Linked DNA regions of Drosophila melanogaster. The protein of the gene in region 1 interacts with the protein of each later gene in a pairwise test. Each region holds a gene or a part of one and is shown in the gene's direction. Other genes may lie near its edges. The genes, in order: CG5062, CG11905, CG5280 and CG3323.

Region 1 (4,467 bases):
ACAGAGCGAGAGCTGTAAAAGTTTTTAGCCTCCCCAACGGACTACGGGTCAAAATCAGTTACGGAACTCTGAAATGAAGAAGGATTGCGAGAAAAGAGGAATAAACCCACGGAGGCTGTTGTTGTAGTAGTTGTAGTAGTAGTTGTAGTAGCATTGCACACGCACACGCACACGCACACAGATGAAGCCGGGTAAATCTCCTCCAGAGTTGTGTGGGGAGTAAATTGCGAAAGCTTTCGGTGGCAGGATTGCATACAATTTGTTTTATGGCCATGGCGTGCACATTAAACGCGCACTTAATCACACGCAATGGGCGTGGTCGGTGGATCGTCCCACCGCCCACCATCGTCGTCGTCGTCTACGGCGACAAATCAAATTGATTTCGCTTTTCTGGCTGGCTTGCCCGCTGCCCTTGCCCAAAAATTTGTACGCCCCCTTTTTTTTTTTTGCCCCTTTTGTTGTGTTGTTTTGCGCCTTATTAAATCACTTTTATTGCCATTGAAATGTGAGAAAAGTTTTACGGAGACGATGCCCCCCCTTGTCGTATATATTATAGTACGTAATATGATTTTTAGCTGCTTGCCAAAAAAAAAAAATAATTCATATTTATGGCAAAAACTTCACGCTCAGCGCGATGTGAGAAACATCGGTGTTATTGATGTCTGGCGAACAGGAGTGTATTTCGGGCGGAACCCATGCAGTCAGAGGTGGTCGCTGTTGGTTGTCCATAGTGAAGGCAACCATTTGCCCCACGGCCACCACACCATCTCATCGGAATCTCGAGTATTTGGTATTGGGTGTCGAGTAGCGTAGTAGATGGAGATGTCTCTTTGTGCGCCCAACAACACAAGCGCCACACAAATAGACAAGACAAACACTATGGGCTGGATATTGAGTTTCGGTTTCGAATTCTCTTCCAGCATTCGTCATATGACGACTAAAATGGAATTTGGTCAGTATCGAGTGCACAAAAGACTCCGGCTAGTTAAGTTATACATATACCAAAATACCGTAAAATAAGCATAACTTGAGCAAAAATAATCATTTTCGAGCACTTTCGAGCAGCAAGTGACATGCGGTATTATAGCCCTGCTTAAAAGCCAGCTTGTTGAACTATATATATTCCTCCATTATCCTTTTTTTTCTCTCACCAGCCTAATCTACGGGCAACAGCGAGATTTTCACAAAAAAAATATATAAAAAAAATAAACCAGCGACCCCTATATTCAGGCACTGCGTTTCAGCGAGGCGTGTAATTAAATTTTCATGCCACCTACCTGGTGGCTGGATTTCGAAGGGAGAGTAGGCGGTGGGGCAAGCGGGCCATGGGCGTGGCACTTACATACAAAGAATGCAAATTGTCGGGGCTATTCCAAAATGCAAGCATCAACGCCTTCGAATGCAACCAAAGCAGGCGGAAGTAAATGCAGCAGCGGCGGCAGCCTTTCCCTTTTTCCCCCAACTAGCTTTCCATATATCCTCGCCCCCCCCCCCCCCCCTTCACTTATCCTCTAGTTTTTCCTTCTCACCTGCCACTCGACAAAAAACGACACTCAAGTGGTCAGGTGTGAACAAGTGTAGAAGCAGCGTACACGAGCATGTTTAATTTTGGGATACTCAAATGTATAACCGACCTATTAAAGGAACTCTATGATTCAAAAAGTACCTGTGAGCCTACATTCCCAGCAAATACCCTGTAATTGTAATGCTATACCCAGCAAGCTTTGAATTCATGTAGATTTAACCTGCCAGATTCGATTGGATAAACAAACGAAATATACGAAACAAGCAAACAAAACAAGAGCCTCCGAGCAAATAACACAAACAGACACGCCAACAAACCGAACAAAGGAACAAACTCAATAGCTAAGCGAGAAATCTGCTATTGCGTTTTACCCCACACCCCTCTGGCCATTTGCAATTTCAAACGCGATATACATATAGAATAGAATTCGTCAAGATGCCAATGGTGATGCCATGTCGTTCGCGAGCTGCGATGAAACTGCACCCGGATTGCTATGATCGACTTAAGAAGCCGATTTATCTGGAAACGCCACCATTATCGACCGTCGAAGAGGAGCCACTATGTGGCGTACGCCGTGATAGACCCGTAAAGCCAAAGGTTCAGAGGCGACCATTACCGCCCGGCACACGTCTACCGAATCCAGTAGCCGTGCCTGGACAGAAGATCACACGTTCGGCGGTGGGTGGCGGTAAGGCGCCACCGCGAGCCCGAAAATACGACGGTGCCAAGGCCACGTTCTTTCACATCAAGGGTCAATCATGGGAATCCAAGGGCTATGCGGAGCTCTCACAGTGCGAACTGGATCGCATGCGGGCATCGAGGCCGCGTACCACCGAGGAGCGTCGCGCGGAACAGGATCGCCGGATGGAGGAGCAGCAATATCATACAGCCGAAGCGGAACGTATGCGTAACTATTTCCACGACATTGATGAGCAGCGCAGGGAGAAGGAGCGCGAGGCCCAGAAGAGGGACGATGACGAGGCCGATGAGGATGTCAACGAGGATCGGCGTGCGGAGGCCAAACGATTGCAGGTAGTTTTTTGGTTTATGGTTCTTAGCCATATTTCCGAAAGTATATCTCCACCACCCATTGTAGGTACTACACCGCGCCTTGGATGCCAAATACGAGTCAGATGTGCGAGTTAAGGATGCCACGCGTGCGATATCCGAGGCCAAATGCAGTGCCATGTGGACGGCTCAGATACAGGAAAGGAAGCTACTCAATCGCATTCAACTCGATCATGACGAGGAGATGGCTCGCAAGAATCGCGACTACAACAATGCCAAATGGGGCACGGTGGAGCAGCAAGATCAGGCCGAAGAGGAGAGGCGCCGGCAATTTGGCAACGCAGTGCGTGAACAAATCACTGATCGCGAAAAGTTACGTTTCCTGGCCCAGGATCGTCTGCGATTGGAGGCGCGAGACTTGCGTGCCGCCGTCGATGAGTATAAAAAGGCTGAATTGGCAGAGGGCGAGATGAAATCGCGCCGTAAGCTGGCCTATCGGGATGAATTGAATAAGTATACGAAATTGCATCGCAATTTCGTACGGATGATGTGCGAACAGGATCAAAGAGATGAGAACAGGGCCTACGAGTATCTAAAGCTCAAGGAGCAGCAATTGAAACAACAGCGAGCGGAACGCGAAGCCATCGCGGCGGATGAGAAACGCAAACGGGATGTTCTCTTTGCAGTCGGCCAAAAGATTCTCGATGCTAAGGATAATCGCGAGGAGATGCATTTCCTGGCGGAACACGAACGCCTCGAACGAAAGTACAGAGAAAACGAACGTAAGGCAGCCGAAAAGGAACGCAAAATGGCCGCCGAACTCAAGCGTGCCAATATGGAGCAAATGGAGCATCTTAGCCAAATGAAGGCCTGCTTCTATGTGCAACGTGAACGCGAACTAAAGGAGATGATCGAGTATCGAAAGAAGCACGAGGAGCAAATGAAGCGCGAGGCCGAGGAGCAGGCCATCAAAAAGGCCTGTCTGCGCTCCAGTGTCTCGTGCCAAATCGAAGAACGGGAGAAGGCTCGTCGCCGCGAACTGGAGGAGGAACACTTGGCCTTCGAAAGGGAGCGGGCAGCTGAGGCGCAGCGGCAAAAGGAAATCGATACGGTGATCACAGTCAAACTGGATGATCTACAAAAGCGCGGATGTCTGCCCAATTTGGCGGTGCAATCGCTAAAGGGTCGTGTCGCCAATGCTGGCAACAAAAAGAAGCTGGGCGCTGAATTCACTTAGATAGTTATATTTTCTAAAAATCCATCCATAGACAGACAGCATCAAACACGCGCACACACTCACTCCCACACACACACACACACACACACACAGACACACACATGAACTCAAGTTGACAATGGCATAGATGATGACTTTTCGAGCTTGGCGGAATTAAAACTTGCAGCACATATAAAATGTACATAATGTATATGCACGTATTTTAGCCACCCTGTGGTGGCAACTTTTCCGTGTGTTCCTCGCCTTTTTTGTTTGCTGTCAATTCAACAAGTTAAAACTGCAGACCGCAGACAAAAGGATATATAGACTGGCACTCATTAAGCAGCAGCTGATAGAGCAAACAAAGTTTTTTCTATCGCTGCGCTCACTCTTTTGCATGTATTAAATATGCACACAGATTGCACACGGTATTCGGTGCAACTAAAAGTCAACTTTATCCTGTCGCATTTGCGGCTGCAAAAATAATTAGCCACACAAGTAATCAAAAACAATGGGTTCAAATGCAGTTTTGGGCAGTGGTGTTACTGTTTTATTTAAGGTTAATTATTAACTAGTTTATGATCTAGGGATTTCGCGCAGTTTTGTTGAATATCATTTATTCGTATAAAGGATAAAAACTAAGCAAAACACGCAGCGAAATCGAGTATAAATCACAAAAGAGGCGCCACAGCCACGCCTTCTCGCACGAAGCTATCAA
Region 2 (6,870 bases), on another chromosome or scaffold:
GACGCGTGCGCGCACTTGCCAAATAATTTGAATCGAACGGAAAGCCTTGGCGTCCACGGCGTGGCCTAAATAAAATATATTTCTGGCCGCGCGAAGCCAAGAAAAGCCCATAAGCAATAATAATATGCATATTTGCTAAAACAAAAAGTTATTACATGGGCCAGTTTTGACCGAAAGTTTCACTGCCACAATTAAGTTTTAATGTCAAGAGATCTAAGCGAGTGATTTCCCTGAAACAAGTTCCTACGCACTCGAAAACTTTCTTCGCCGAATGCACTAAAAGAACGTACAGAAGAGCACTAAAAAGCTTGCCATAGCTTGACATAGATTCTATTCGGCCGGGTCTAGGGTTTGTATGGCTGAAATGGCCACGTTCTCAGCGTAGAAATCAATGGCTCACCTGGGAAGTAGCCGAGGTGCATAATTGGGTTAGCGTAGCAGCAGAACGGCCTGCATTGAAACCACAAATTACTGGGGCTCCGGCTCTCCCAGGTGCCAGTTAGCTGTTTCTGTTTATTTTCCCCCTCATAAACAACGGTTTGGGCTGGGATTCTCCTCCTCGCCGAAGGTCAGACTTAATTGGCCCGGGCCTAGGCAACGACATCCCACTAGCAGTCCCGTTTCGCCTGCATTTATAAATAGGCCCCAAGGTCTCTGGGTCTTGGGTCTTCGGTCTTCGGTCTTCGGTCTTCAACTTCTCGACTCGCTCTTCGGCTGCTTGGATTTCAGTTGGGGTTCGATTTATCGCCTTTTGATTGCTGCATTCCAATTGTGGATCAAGTGGTGCGTGTGGCGCATTCGGGGCTTACAACGTGTTGCTGCTAATTTCGTATGCTCCCTTCGGCTCTGCGCACTCGAAACCATAAATCTTGTGGCAATTTTATTGATGCCTGCGTGTGCCACAAAGGTCGACCCCCCGTTCGATGCTGCTTAATCAAGGAATATGCATTATTTCACAGCGCAGTCAGTAGCTGGCTGCTCGGGGCATAAAAGCCAATAAAAGAATAAATTGCAGTTGTATCACAGCAAAGTTAATCACAAAATTAATGGTTCTGGGCTAATAAAGACTGGTCTGCAATGAAAACAAATGACTTAAGGCACGAACCTGAAATCAATTTCTCTGATTTCAGACATTTGTTATTCATGATTATCGATCAAAAACGGTCCGAAGCTAAGTCTTAATCCTGACATCTGTTGATACCCGAGAAGTGTGTGAAGTCTTCACGCCGAAGTGCTTGTCAAATCAAAAAAAAAAAAAAAGAACATGACTCTTGAGTCACTATGTGCGAAACTTTCTAACGAGTTCCAGGCAAACATTTTAATTGAATTGCCCGGCAACGAATCGATTCTTTCATCACGGTAAGTCTCTTACCATTTTGGCTTATGTCATGTTCTGGGCCCGTTCCGAGCTGATTACCTTTCCACTTCCCACACGCATTTCGCTTCTATTCTCGTGGCTCACTCCACTTGTAATGGCCAGTCACTTCGCTCCTGTCCAGTCACACTCAATCAAGCCAATAAACGGCCAATTAATCAAAGTCAGCGCTGTGATTCTGTGTTCTTGCTAGGTGCGAGTTTGCGAAACAGTAGACTGAAGAAGCGACTGTCAGCACATTTAATCAAATGCTTGAGAAATATCTGACAATATGTTAGGCAAACTATTTGCCTAACCCAAGGGATCGGGGAAGATTTCGATCTGCGAAATCCTAGAGTTGTAAGCCTGCATATCAATTGGTGTTGTGTACCCTGGAGCTGGTAACCAAATCCCACAGATCCACGCCCCCAGATAAAAGCCAGGCCAAGGCGCTCGACTACGTGCCCGAATCGCGGTCTTCTCTTCGACTCTCTCTTCTGCCCAAAACCCAGTTCTCTTACACCTGATCGGGCCCTGTTTTCTTGGCCATTTCTTTCGCTTCGTCGTTTGCATCGCTAATGGAAATGTTATAAACAGACGCGCTGGGCCCGGCCAGCACTCAGTTCATCTTCAGACGTCGCCTGGCTCGCTGGCTCTTGGTTCTTGGTAGGAGTTCCATTTCCAGACCCTATTTATTGTGCGTGACAAAAAAAAAGAAAGAAAAACAACGGAACCTGAAACAATCGTAAATTGAAAGCTCAGCAGGATTGGTTTTATAGTGCTTTTAGTGTGTGTGATTTTGCCGCGTGATAACCCAGAGTGCCACTCATTCCCGTTCTCGTTTGCAGTTCAAGGATATATTGTCAAGGCGAGGATTGGTCAACGCCACGAACACCAAGCATTTATTGAAAAATCTGAAACTATTCACCAGAACCTCGCGTTAAAATGCGCTTTCTTGTTGTAAGTCAAATCGCATAAAAAAGAAAATTAAATACCATGAATGACTTAACTTCACATTTTGGGAATACAAAACGAAACTAGTTTATACCTGACCGCAATTAATCATTTATTGCTCTGTGCTGCCGCTGAACTCATTAACTCGTCAACTGGCCCAAGTTCGTGCCTTAAGTCTTTTGTTTCTTTCACTTCTGAATCGACACTAACTTTCACTAAGCGACTTTTTTGATTCTTGGCTTGGTTCTTTCCTTTTTTTGATCGCCTTAATTAGCCTTAATTATGCTCTGTGCCATATGCAAATATTAATAAGAGTGCCTAAAATCTTTTTGGGGTTTATAATAATCACAAATCAATTTGGACGCAAAGAACTATATTGGGGAAACTTTTTTTTATATGAATGCAAAAGGTTAAGACTTCTTTGTGCCAGTTATTGTTCACTTAGTAAAGGTTTTTCAAAAGAGTTAATTCTTTCTGAAAAGTGAAACCCTTTTGTCCATTCCATTTGAACGTGACAATATTCTAGCCCCACCCCAATTTAAAAAGTGAGAATTAATCATTCATACCTAGGAAGTATTGTTCCTTGCATTATTCATATTCCCATTATGAAAAGCATGCCCTTAAAAGTCAAAACTCTACAGCGACTCCCATAAGCAACAATGCCATTCAATTATAACCACAACCAATACAACCACTTGGGTTGAAAAGCCCAAAAAATAATTATGACTCAAAGAACATAAAATTAATATGCCGCAAACGTATAAAAATCATGCGTGGGCTAACAAATGGTAATATAAGTCTTCTTTTCCCCCTCCCAACTATCAAACAATCGGTCACATTTGTGTGGGGTTCTTAACTATAAGTGCACTGGTTTGTTTTCGAGTTTGTGATCGTTTCGATAGTGGTTCATAAATTAATCAATTTATGAGTGTAGACAGTTAGCCACACGTCCCAAGTCCATCAATCCCTGCTCAATTAGCTGCATTGGAATGGCTCTGGAATATCATTTAAGACCAAAAGACACCTGATCGGATGTGAAGATCAGGAGACAGACTCATTTATAACTTGTTTGAGAACATAAAATGCTGCGCTTAAACTTTGCATTCGAGCCATTAACCCAGTTTATTTTTGGACAAGACACACCTGATATGGGGTCGAATCGGCATCGTTATGTGAGGGCAATATAATAAATAAGGCGAAATACACAAAAGAAAGCAGACAGAAATACATCTTACTGCTTGGGGATGCAAGAGTTCTTGCAAATCAATGGCAACCAGGTTCGACAGCCTCTGCGCCAGAATCTCTTCTCTCGAGTTACGTTTCGGCACCGAAATCGTAACAGCCGCCTAGAGGTTCAGGTCAATGACACAACACGAGCCTCGACTTCGAATCCAGCTTTGGTTTTGGCTTTTGGTCTCAGTTCCTCTCGGCTTTGTGACATTTCGGCGCTGATAGATAGGCGTGCGGGCTGGTCGTTTCCACCGGCTAACGGTTGCGTCAATATTGACTTTGCCAAAGATGTGGAGAGCCGGCGAGAGTGAGTCAAATATTTGCCGATCGTGAGGTTCTTGACAATCGTATTCGAGGGAAAATCCGTCAAGTACATAAGCCGTTCCTTGCCACCTGGCTCTCACTTTTCGGCGTAGCTTTCAGCAGCGAAAGAAATTATGCAAATGTGCTGGAGGAGCAGGGAGAGAGAGACTTTCGCGACTTTCGGGACTTGACCGCATTCCACACGTGTGAATTTTGTATCCATTACGACATCAGAATACAGACACCCTATCTAACCGGCATAAATCATAGATCTCATTCATCTATTGTCACACATTTGTCTTTCAGCTCTCAACACTGCTTCTGGCCTCTTTGGCACTTGGCCAGGCTCAACAGCACGGTGGACTGGCCGTCGAGTAAGTAGACTAGTAGCTAGTTACCCAGCCCTAAGACCCCAAATAACCATGAAATGCCTTGCCTGCCAAATGTGACTGTGTCAACGCTAATGCTCATTCCAAGTAGAAGTTGATGCGCTTGCCTAGAACTATGTGACTAAACCGAAAAAAGCCCAGACTTGTGACTAACCCTCAAAACTCATTTCCCTCCACCCAACAACACATTACCCTGCATTAGCAACTAGAAGCTAACTCCACCAACAGATAGAGACCACCAAACAAACCCCACCTTTCGTTTGCAGAATTCAGAAGCAGCGGCTGGTCAAATTTCCCGAGGACTTTGAGCCCAATGCGGCCACTCCGTCCTCGGAAAAGGCGGACGAGGCCAAGCGCATCCTCGAGCAGATAGCCAAGGTTAACGAGGCCTTTGGCTACGTGAAGAAGCAGCCGGAGCAGCCCAAGCTGCCACCGATCCTTGATTCCAGTCAATACCTGTTCCCCAAGCCCGCCCATCAGCCATTTCACGCCCATCAGCACCACTTCTCGGGAAGTAATGGTCAGACCTTGTTAGAACCCTCAATTAGGGCGGTGAAACTCACAAGAAATGTGGCGGGCAGTTACAATGTGCCTCCCAGGTTGCGCCAGGCAATTGAGAGCACCTCCAAGGAGGAGAAGAAAGCGCAACTCTACTTCCGACCCAAACAGGTGGAGGTACCGAAGCCGAGTTCCGAACAAGAAGCACAGCAGCTGCCCGCCCACTTTGTGGTGCCCGTGCACCTGTACAAACTCAATAAGGAGGAGTATCTCAAGGAGCACGCCTCGCAGGAATACAAGATAAAGGGATACAAAATCATTGGCGATGTGGACAGCTTCTATGGCAAGGCGAAGGCTGGAAGAAAACAGGGCAAGACGACGCCCAAGTATCACCTGTTCTTCCTGCCCCGAGAACTGGCTCTCAATGAAGATGGCACCCCAAAAAGGGGTAATTCCACCACCATTGGTACGACCACCACAAAGGCTCCAGTGCCTGTGAACTTCAAGGAATATCGTTTGGACTCCCGCGAGAAGCCCGTGCATAAGCCACAGAAGATTCAGCCCACTTCGTCACCGGAATTAAATTCTTTGAACAGAAAGAAGGTTGGTTCCACAGCGAAACCCGTTCGCTTGAGTGGAAAGGATGCTGAACAGCAAATCTACCAGGGATCCACATCCCTTAATATCAAGGCTACATCTGCGCCTGTCCTGTTGAGTTCTACTTTACCACCATCTGGTGGCTTGCTGCCCAATCGGAATCGCTTAAGTCCATTCCGCATGCCCGGAATGAATATAGCTGAGATGCAGAATCAGACCTCGACTGCCATCAAGAATGCCTTTCAAAACATTTTCAAGCTCCCCTTCCGACCTCCAATGGCGGCCACAGCTGGAGAAGGTCCTGTGGTTGTTGGCAATGTTCCTGTGAAGAATCACTCAATCGATTCGATGGATTATAAATGGGAGGATGAAAACGAGGGCGCCGGCGATGGGATGGCCGATGATGTGGATACCATTGAGAACACAGCCGCGGAACTGGACAACAGTGCCTCCTCAGAGAAGCACTTGTTTGCTCACAAGGGCCATCACCTGATGCACACTGTGAGCCAGGTGGCCACCGCTCAGGAAAGCACCCAAAAGCAGGCATTGCGCGAAGGAGGAATCATCATTCAGCGGCTAAAGGTTCGCAGGGGCGGCATCGCTATCGCAGGACCCGGGGGCGTGGCCACGGCGGGCAGCGGAGGAACGGCGATTGTTGGTCCCGGTGGCTATGCTCTCACCCATCCACGGAGTCTCACCATCGCCGGTCCCGGGGCCAAGGTGATCTCCATACCGGCAGATGTGGACCTTAAAGATGCCCTGGCACGCACCGATCTGGAGACGAGAAGTTTTCCGCGAGAGGGAAAGATAGTGGCTACAGGACCAACGGTCTACTATGCTCCACCCACGGGCACAACAACCATGGAGGCGGATCAGGGGGCGGGGCTGGAGACGGGCCAGTTCGAGTCCTAATCCAGTTCGAGGCTTAAACCTAATAGCTATTATTTAGCACATTTAGTTAGGATCCATAGTTGGTATTGTCTAGTGTTCTAATAAATATTTGTATTTCGTAATTGTTTGGGCTTTTGCTTTCATCTTGTACATAGTAGTTTTAGATATCACACTTATTCCGCATGATATTAACCCGACACAGTTTAACCCCTCGAATTATTGCTGTAAATAATATACGACTAACCGGCGGTTCTCTTCACCATTTTCCTCTATCCCACTCTTCCTAAACCAAAAACTATCCTAACTCAAGTGCCTACTGGCGCACAACCAATATCGAGGCCTGGCCACCAGGAGCACCCGTCGCAGAGAAGTCCGGAAAACTCATTGCAGGATCTGCTCCGGCCCAGGACCTCACGCCCTATGGAGCCTATCAACCCGTGCTGTTCAGTGCCCCATACTACGCCGCCTACAATCTGCCCCTGGCCTATGTGGTGCAACCCACCATCGCCAGTGCCGATCAAGCCACCATAGCCAGTGCAACAACCACAACGACCACTACCACAACTGGCCGACCCGAAAGCTTAGCTGATGACAGCTCCAGCGAGTTGGAGAAACCAGAAAAGCTACAGGCTCTGCCTGCAGTGAAGACCCGAA
Region 3 (3,300 bases), on another chromosome or scaffold:
AGTTTGTTTTAATGTTAAGTTTATTAACTGTATGCCAAGGCGCCCCCAAAGATATGATCAATTGACTCGGGCTCGCAGGACCAACGGCTGGCCGATGAACTTGTGGAGCCCATGCTGCACTCCCCGACGGTAATCCCATGTCGGTTGTCAGCGGGGGCGTGGCATCTTACTGTCAATGTTATTAATGTATAGGTTTCGTAAATGTTGTCGCCATTTATGTAGTTAAACTAACAAGCCAAGCCCCACAACACACACACACACAGATCGCAACAACAGAATACAGTAACTTCTCTCTACCTAGGAAAATTTGGCCAAATTTGATCAACATTTTACGCTATTCTAAACCCCAATCACAACATCAACTATTTCATTCACTATCAACAACGTCGCCAAATGAAAGAAATACCCCGATCTGAACGACGACGAAAAATGGTTTATCTAGTAAAAAATTATAAAATGAACTCTGCATCGTGACCATGAGACTGACTAAGATTACTTTTCGCAACTATAAAAACTAGAAGGAAGAAAGCTGGATGGAGAGGGAATTGAAAAGTGAGAATTGAGAAACGAGAGCTGATAATTGTTTGCGCGAATCAAAACTAGGCTTGCTGAATGAAGTAGTAGTCACATAATGAATATGTTTATATATACACGTACACATAATTTATTTTAAATTAAAAGGAACATATTTGCTGAACCGTAACTGCACCAGAGGAAATCGCAACGGCGGAAACTACCACTAGACTAAACTTTAACAGAAAAGAGTTTCAATGTTTCACTGTTTGTGTTTGAGAATCGGAACCACATATTGTATTTTGCATATTTAAGCGTAAGCCAAATCCATGTATTGCATACCGATCATGATCACCATTGTCATTGATTAGATTATCTCTACTATTACTATTATGTTTGCTTTAGTCAATTGTTTATAATGTAAATGGCAAGCCAATCACTCGATATGTTATGTTTTAGTTGTTTTTTTAAAAATTATATATATTTATATATACAAATGTATGTCGCTAAGCTTAGGTTCAAACAAAAAACGACGATGGGCCAAGCTGGAAAAAAGAAGGCAGCCAAAAAATATTTACCTTAAGAGCGTAAAAACGTGTAGTCTAATTGTAAATGTATAAAAACGAACAAATGCATGTGTAAAAATCTTGGTTGGAAATGTTTTTGTTTTCTAATTTCTCGTCGATATTTCCAAGATTTGTTTGTTTACAACAACCGCAACACTGTAAATCGCAGATGCTTTTATTTAATAATAAAAACCTATTGTACGGCCAGTTGGGATACAAAGATAATCGAAACCTAATTGTCAAACTTTAGCGAGTTCAAAACGATCCACAAACTAAATGGTTTATTGTAAAAGTGCAACTACTCGTAGACGAATGTGCATAAGTCAGTTAAATGTTCGCAAAATTATCATAATGCGAGCATAAACCAAGCGTGTACCTACCCACACATATACACACATACAATACCTACATATATTTATTTTCAATAAATTATTTCGAGATTTAAAAATACCCATGCTGTTTACCTAACAACCCAGGTTGCCATGCGTCTCCACTTTTGTTGTCCGGCGAAAAACAACTTCATACCGAGGCTAGCCTTCAAACACACCAAACGAAATTATCGAAGCGATTTTCTATAGTATATACAAGCCTTACTTTTCCGGAGCAAAAATTATTAGCTTTACAGAATGAGCCGACATCGCTTCAACAACGTGCAGATCAAGGCATTGCCCGGTGGTCTGATGGCCCACCACGAACCGGATGCGGATGGCGGACAGCCCGGTTCGCAGAAGCTGCCCATGTGGCCCAGTGAACGCATTCCTCCTGGCGGTGCTGGAGCCTTCCACTCGGCCAAGGTGCAATATAGCAAGGAGACAGCTGATCTGATCCGATGTAAGTGCGTTTTGGGCATGCCAAATATCTAAGGAATAAGAGGATAAGAGGACCATCCATAAAGATAATCGTGTACATTTTCCGCTTCGTTATAACCTCCCTTGTTAGTGCTTGTCAAGGAGTCCAAGATGTCGATGTTGGTACGCAAGCAGATCGATGAGAGCCTGCGCAATGGGGAGCCATTGCCATTGCCCGAACCGCCGCGTCCCAATACCAACAACGATCCGGACAAGGAAACACTGGCCATTTTGGATCGGGCACGCAATGCCAAGCGTAAGAATCTGCGGCAGATCGAGGCGAGCGGAGCTTACAAGCAGAGCTATTACCGCCCGCCCGCCGACAACCGAATGCATGGAGAGAAGGCCAAGTCGCAGCTGCAGTTCACCATGGCCGGCACTCATTTGCCCGATCCGGCGATCAAGCCGCGACGTCGTCCTCGCGAAGAGCAACTGGTGACGGAGGAGGATCTCATAAACGAGCGTAAGTTGGAATATTTCTTAAGCGGAATAAAGCGGAATTATACATTGAGTTGGCATGCTCCTACAGTTTTGGACCAAATCAACGAGCGTGCTGAGTGGTTGACGGAAATGGAGTCCATGGGCCAGGGTAAGAAGTATCGTCCAGAGATTCGAGATCAGATTGCCGAACGTCTGCGTCGCATTCAGGCGCTGGAGTCCAAGATGAAGATGAAGTCCAATGGCGGCTTCCGTTTCGTGGACTAAATGTGTTATCCTGTTTTTAAAGTTTCATGATTTCATGATTGAGACGACGAGTAAACCAAATAAATAAATTCCAAGATTCATTTGAATTTAATGGGAATTTATGGTAACACTCGATTAATAAATAGCTTTATTCAACTTATTCGCATTCGTATAATTTGGATTTCGTTAAATTTTCATTTGATCTGGCACATATTTAATACACACTCATTATAACAATGCAAGAAGCCCAAACGCAAGCACTTTAGACCTTAGATTTTTGGCAAAATGAGTATAAAGTACAATGTTGAAAATTCAAGTGGTTTAATTAAAAGTACCGAATAAATTACTGGATTATTAGTTTATGTGTATATAGAATATACGGCTGTATATATCTGGACCTACGCACTACATTTTGTATATATATATATATATGCACGCATCTGTAAGTTCAAAGAGTAATGCACCTCCATTCAAAAATAGACTTTTGTGACCTCAGTTTGTGCTCAACCTCGGATTCAGGGGGTGGTTGTGTTTAGCACGACGGCATGTGGCAACGAAATTCGCTGGCTGCTTCTGCAAACCGATTCCGGATCAAGTAGCCGCTAATCACCTCAGCCACCTCGTGTGGACGGTCCTCGTGCACGGCGTGACCGCAGCGGGCCAAGACCTGCATCTGGAAGCGACCCTGC
Region 4 (5,041 bases), 120 kb from region 1:
ATGATTGAGGATGATCTATTAAAGATGTGATTGAAAGCGAGCGAAAATTGAGTAGTTAATTAGTAGTACATAGGATCCTGGTAGGTTGTGCAAAAGCTGTTCCAGTGCACGCTACCGTATTTATATTTCTGAAAACAAATTGGTAACCAAGTCAATCGACGCACATTTGAAACTCTCGAAATTCTCAGCGCTCGTTTCGGTCCGTGTTTTGTTTTGTTTTTTTTTTTTTTTTCCTTTTTGCTAGTGTTAACTAAAGATTTGCCGTATTTCGTTTTCCTGTTTGGAGTTAGACGATGTCAAAGGCGCAGCAACTGATGGCCAGGGACCAACAGGCGGCCAGGACGGAGGAGGAGGCGCGTCGCAAGCGCGCCGAGATGCGTCAAAGCTATGGTAACAAATTTTCCAGCATAAATCTGCATAGGATGCGCCAGAAGCAGACGACCAATGCCGGCGATGTCATCGCCACCAAAGCAACCACAATGGATGCTGCCTACAGCAAGAAGGCGCCGGTGGAAACCAATGCCGATGCGCCGGCAATGCCGACGAAAAAGGAAAAGGATGACCCCTCACTGCGTCGCATCGCTTCCAGTTTTGCGCACGTGCGGGATTTAGTTAGCGGCAGCACCGACGCCCTGCCCCTGGAGGATAGCGAGGATGATGCTCGCGAGGAGCGCGCCGAGGTGCTCATCTTCAGTCAGACAATGCCGCCACCCGATGAGCTGTCCGTTGACTTGCCATCTCCTGGCAAATCTGAGCCGGAAACGGAGCCCGACCTCCAGTCCCAATCTCAGTTCAATCTGGAATCTGAACAGCAACCTCAACCGGAAACCAACAGCACAGACATTGCTGCTGCTGCTGCTGCTGCACAGATCGCTGAATTGTCGGCATCAGTGATGTCGTCCAAAGTAATGCTCGATGCGCCGCACACCGAATCCCGGGCCTTCGAACGCTGGCAGCAGCTGGGCAGCACGGTATCGGCACTTTTCCGTGCCCGGCGGAACATCGACATCGCTGAGTCGCCGATGGCGCAGACTCGACGATTGCGCGAACAGCGCGAGCTGCTCGAGGCATTCACCCGACCCTTTCTGTACGACGCGTACAGGAGGGAGTAAGTAAGGCTTGCGGTGACGCCTGAGAACTGAAACGGAAAGCCCAACAAACGGAGGCACCCCCCCTTGCCAAGCCATTGAAATTCAAACAATTTAGAGCAGTGTCTTCGATTAAATTCAATTCATTAGATCTCGCATATCGCATCTCGCATCCTCCGCATGGGCAATGGGTGGGCAGCACAGCTGTGGCTCGCAATCCGGTTTAGTAGCAGCGGCATCTGTCCGGCGGACACTCCGATTCATAGTTGAGACACTTGTCCATGCAGTAGGTGTCGGCACCATCCTGTCCAGCATACTCGCCAATGGCCACGCACTCCTGACTGTGCAATTGATATGGGTTTAGATTCGAACTTGCTATGTATGTATCTCGTTAGATACATATTATTCATGTGCATACTTACGGACATTGGCAGGCGTCCTCCGGACAATTGGGCGGATAGCGCAGGCAATTGATCTCGCACCAGTTGTCGATGCCCGGCAAGGCACGGAATGCTGGGGCGCCAATGCACTTTTGGTCACTAAAAGAAATCAATAGCATAGCCACATAACAAGAAGAATTCCATGATGCTAAAAAAAAAACTACTAGGATCAACTAGATGGCTTTGGAAATGGCATCGCAGCAGTCCTTGAACACCCGGCGTTCGGCTGTCAAGTTCGATTTCGATTTTAGTCCCAGCTGTTCGTTTCACTCAGTCAGTCGACTAGAACAGTGCTCCCACTCCCAATATTTATTTTATAAGCTCGACATTACAATAAATCGAACACAAAACGAAGGTCACATATTATATATATATATATATATATATATATATAGCAGATGTCGCAATAGATCGCTGTAGCGGAGCAACCAACATGAATCGCAATCGAATCAATCAGATACGCCAGTTAGATCGCGGCCAGGAGGGACTGCCGCAAGTCATCCAAATGCAGGGACAGGCACAGGTTCAGCTGGGCGGCGACCAGGGTAATCACGTCGGCAACGAGGGACAAGCGACGGGCAATCAGAATGTCCGCCGCAAGATGACCTACACCAGAACGGAGATGCTGTCGCGTGGCCTGCCCACCGGTAAGTTTCGTCCAACCAAAGATCTCAGATTTTTTTTTCTTATTTTGTTTTCTTTTTTTTTTTTTTTTTTGTTCAGTTAACAACAGCAATCGTTCGGCTCGAAACTGCAACACAGCTGGACAGGATTGGACCAGTCAATTGTCGCCCAGACATCGTTACGCACAACCACCAAAGTCCGGAATACCGGTCCCTCCGTTGTTCCTAAGCAGCACCCATGCAAGCACCAATAAGAATGTCACCACTGCCAGTCGTCAGCGTAGTTTCCTGCCCCGAGTGGCCAAATTGCCAAACAGAGCGGACAAATCGCCGAGGAAGAATCAATATCGCGAAGCTCTGACCACTGAGGTCACGGTGGAGCAATCTCAGACGTTGCCATTGGGCAATCACAAGGCTAAACATTTGGTGAATACACCACATGACAGCGAGAGCAGCATTCTGCAGGACGGCAGTGATGATAAGCTAATAAGCGACAGCGGCAGCTCAATGGATCACGACAAGATCAAATTGGCCAAGGCCATACGCCTGCCGGATGAGGGGAACAAGAGTTTCGTCTATGTATGCAAGCCGGTGAAGAAGGTCAAAGCTCTGTTGACTGCCAGAAAATTGCGCGCTAGCAGCGAGCACTTGAATGGCCCAAAGGATGGTGAGTTTAGCTTGCAGGAACAGGAGACATTCAAGCTGCAGAGGACCATTTCCGAGGAGGCTCTATGCAGCCGTGGCGCCGGCGAGGGATACACACTCTCGCCCGTCGAGGGACTGGCACAGAGCACATCGACCACCTCCAGCCAGTTGGATAGTCCCACATTGGCGGCCATGCTGCAGCGCCAGCAGCAATTCGAGTCGAAGGCGGTTGGCAGTCAGGACCGTTTGAGGTTGCAATTGGAGGAGGTGTGCCACAGGCACAATAATCAGCGCCAGCTGGAAAAGGATCAGTACGAGAAGGAGCAGCGCCAATTGGAATTGGATCAGGTGTCAAAGAAACTGCCCGTGCTGCAGCATGAGATACATATGCTGCATAAGGTGAGCGAAAAACTGGAGGCGACACTAAGGGCCACCAATATACCCAAGCCGAGAAGCAACGTAATCATTACGGATATAAGCCGGCAATCATCTGGACGTTTCTACACACCGCGCACCAGTCCCAATCAATTGGACGAGCTGCCCATTAGGAAATTGTGTTGTTTGCGCTTGGAATATATACCAGCTATTGAGATGCGGGCACGCATCATTGGCACCGTTTGCCATGTGGGCTTTGTCCAAGAGTTTCGCATCGAGACCAAAACACTTAACGAGCTAAAGACGGCGGATGAGTCGCAATGCTTCTATTTACCGGCACCCAAAGAGGAACCGCCATTGGTCCAGCTCAACGAGGATGATCCATTGCAGTGCACCAACTTTCGTCAGTTGCGTAAGAATCCGAATATGCTGTTTCAGCAACTGCGAAAAGTGCCCGGCGCTGGGGGATCCTTTAATCTTTTGGATCAGGACACAATGTTCTTCAATAGTCTGGCCTATGCGGATTCAAAAATCATGGATGCTAACACCGTCGAACAGCTTGAGGTGGCCACACGCGAGGCGGGTGGCGGTGGAGCAACTATGGCCCATTATGGCGGAGCCATTGCCTATTCACGCCTCTCGGTGCGTCTCAACGAAGTGGGCGTGGATGATGCTGCTGCTGCTGCTGCTCCTCCTACTCCTGCAGTGAAATCAGAGGAGCAGGGCGATCGTCTAACTGAATGTCCTTGTCAGGTGAACAATACCACTCAAACGGACGTGGAATTGTCCAAGTTGGAGAAAATTCGAGAAGCGGAAGAGGAAATTAGTTCACCAGACTTTACACCCAATCCCAGTCCCAGGACAAGGAAGCGAATGAAAGTGGAGGAGCCGAACGGCAAAGTGCAAGAGGAAGACGCGTTGGAATCCAATCTCGATTCGCGACCAAAGAAGACCAGGAAAGTAATAACTCGTAGAGCGCCCGATCCACCCGTTCGTTGTGACGTGGAGCCCAAGGTGCGTTTGAAGTTGCTCAAAACCGTATTGGTGGGAATGGTCCAGATCGCTGTTATATTAGTTCTCATCATGGCCATCGGATCTCCGGATATTATCTGCTAAGCTACACAACCATCGAAATATTGCCAAGATGCCATAGAAAAAGAAGCAGTGAATGCAAAAGTAGGAGAGAGAAAAACTGTAGCGGGAAATGTGGCGATAATAGCAAGTAGCGGGAAAAGCACCGATAACCGGATTCGGTGTTTGATTTCACATTATTTTTCGAATTTATTGTTTTCTTACTCGGGCCCAAGCGAAGCCACGTCAAAGTTAATAAAATTTCATGTGTATTGCAAACCGTTAGCATCTAAAGCATTTCGATTCCCATTCGAATCTGTATCGGTTAAGCGAAGCGGTTAAGCGAAACAATATAAAAAGCATTTCTATAGGTTTTAAGTTTATTCAAGCATTTCTTTATGTACAGCAGTGCCTGTGCGTGTGTGTACCATAACCGTTTAAAATCTTAAATGTAGGCGGTGGAGAAATTTACCTTTACCCGTTACTCGTTTGAACTCTGACCCGATTCGGGCGGGATTCCATCCGAACGCGGGTGCATAGCTGTTTCGACTAGGGCTAGAAAAACGTAATCAAATCGGTTTGCGATCGGGTAGCGGGTAAGCGGGTAAGCGGTTTTAAGCAGGTATCGGGTAAGCTGTTTAACGGCCAGGCGGCTTAGCCTTGCCTTGTTTGCGTGCATGCCGCGTGGCATTGCTAGAAACCAAAGCAAGAGTTAAAATCGTGTTCGCAGAGCTGAACAAAGAACACATATTCTGTTAGAGGAAGAACAGCGAGGAGAGATGGTTCAATAAAGCGGAAA

The links.
Region 2: the proteins of CG5062 (region 1) and CG11905 interact in a two-hybrid assay, tested with the Drosophila melanogaster proteins (one large-scale study listed by BioGRID).
Region 3: the proteins of CG5062 (region 1) and CG5280 interact in a two-hybrid assay, tested with the Drosophila melanogaster proteins (one large-scale study listed by BioGRID).
Region 4: the proteins of CG5062 (region 1) and CG3323 interact in a two-hybrid assay, tested with the Drosophila melanogaster proteins (one large-scale study listed by BioGRID).

The regions. Positions count from the first base shown.
Region 1 is NC_004354.4:5,179,674-5,184,140, reverse strand, and holds CG5062 (uncharacterized protein), read left to right. Parts: upstream 1-1,771; 5' UTR 1,772-1,960; coding exon 1,961-2,557; intron 2,558-2,621; coding exon 2,622-3,770; 3' UTR 3,771-3,959; downstream 3,960-4,467.
Region 2 is NT_037436.4:16,930,638-16,937,507, reverse strand, and holds CG11905 (uncharacterized protein), read left to right. Parts: upstream 1-1,971; 5' UTR 1,972-2,020; exon of another isoform or gene 2,021-2,202; 5' UTR 2,203-2,299; coding exon 2,300-2,314; intron 2,315-4,147; coding exon 4,148-4,215; intron 4,216-4,496; coding exon 4,497-6,237; 3' UTR 6,238-6,336; downstream 6,337-6,870.
Region 3 is NT_037436.4:8,988,539-8,991,838, reverse strand, and holds CG5280 (uncharacterized protein), read left to right. Parts: upstream 1-1,610; 5' UTR 1,611-1,705; coding exon 1,706-1,910; intron 1,911-2,018; coding exon 2,019-2,390; intron 2,391-2,456; coding exon 2,457-2,632; 3' UTR 2,633-2,770; downstream 2,771-3,300. Other genes in the region: CG5068 (uncharacterized protein), read right to left, coding at 3,144-3,300.
Region 4 is NC_004354.4:5,302,465-5,307,505, reverse strand, and holds CG3323 (uncharacterized protein), read left to right. Parts: upstream 1-1,814; 5' UTR 1,815-1,961; coding exon 1,962-2,175; intron 2,176-2,251; coding exon 2,252-4,287; 3' UTR 4,288-4,518; downstream 4,519-5,041. Other genes in the region: CG17764 (uncharacterized protein), read left to right, coding at 294-1,112; CG42749 (uncharacterized protein), read right to left, coding at 1,312-1,429, 1,511-1,627.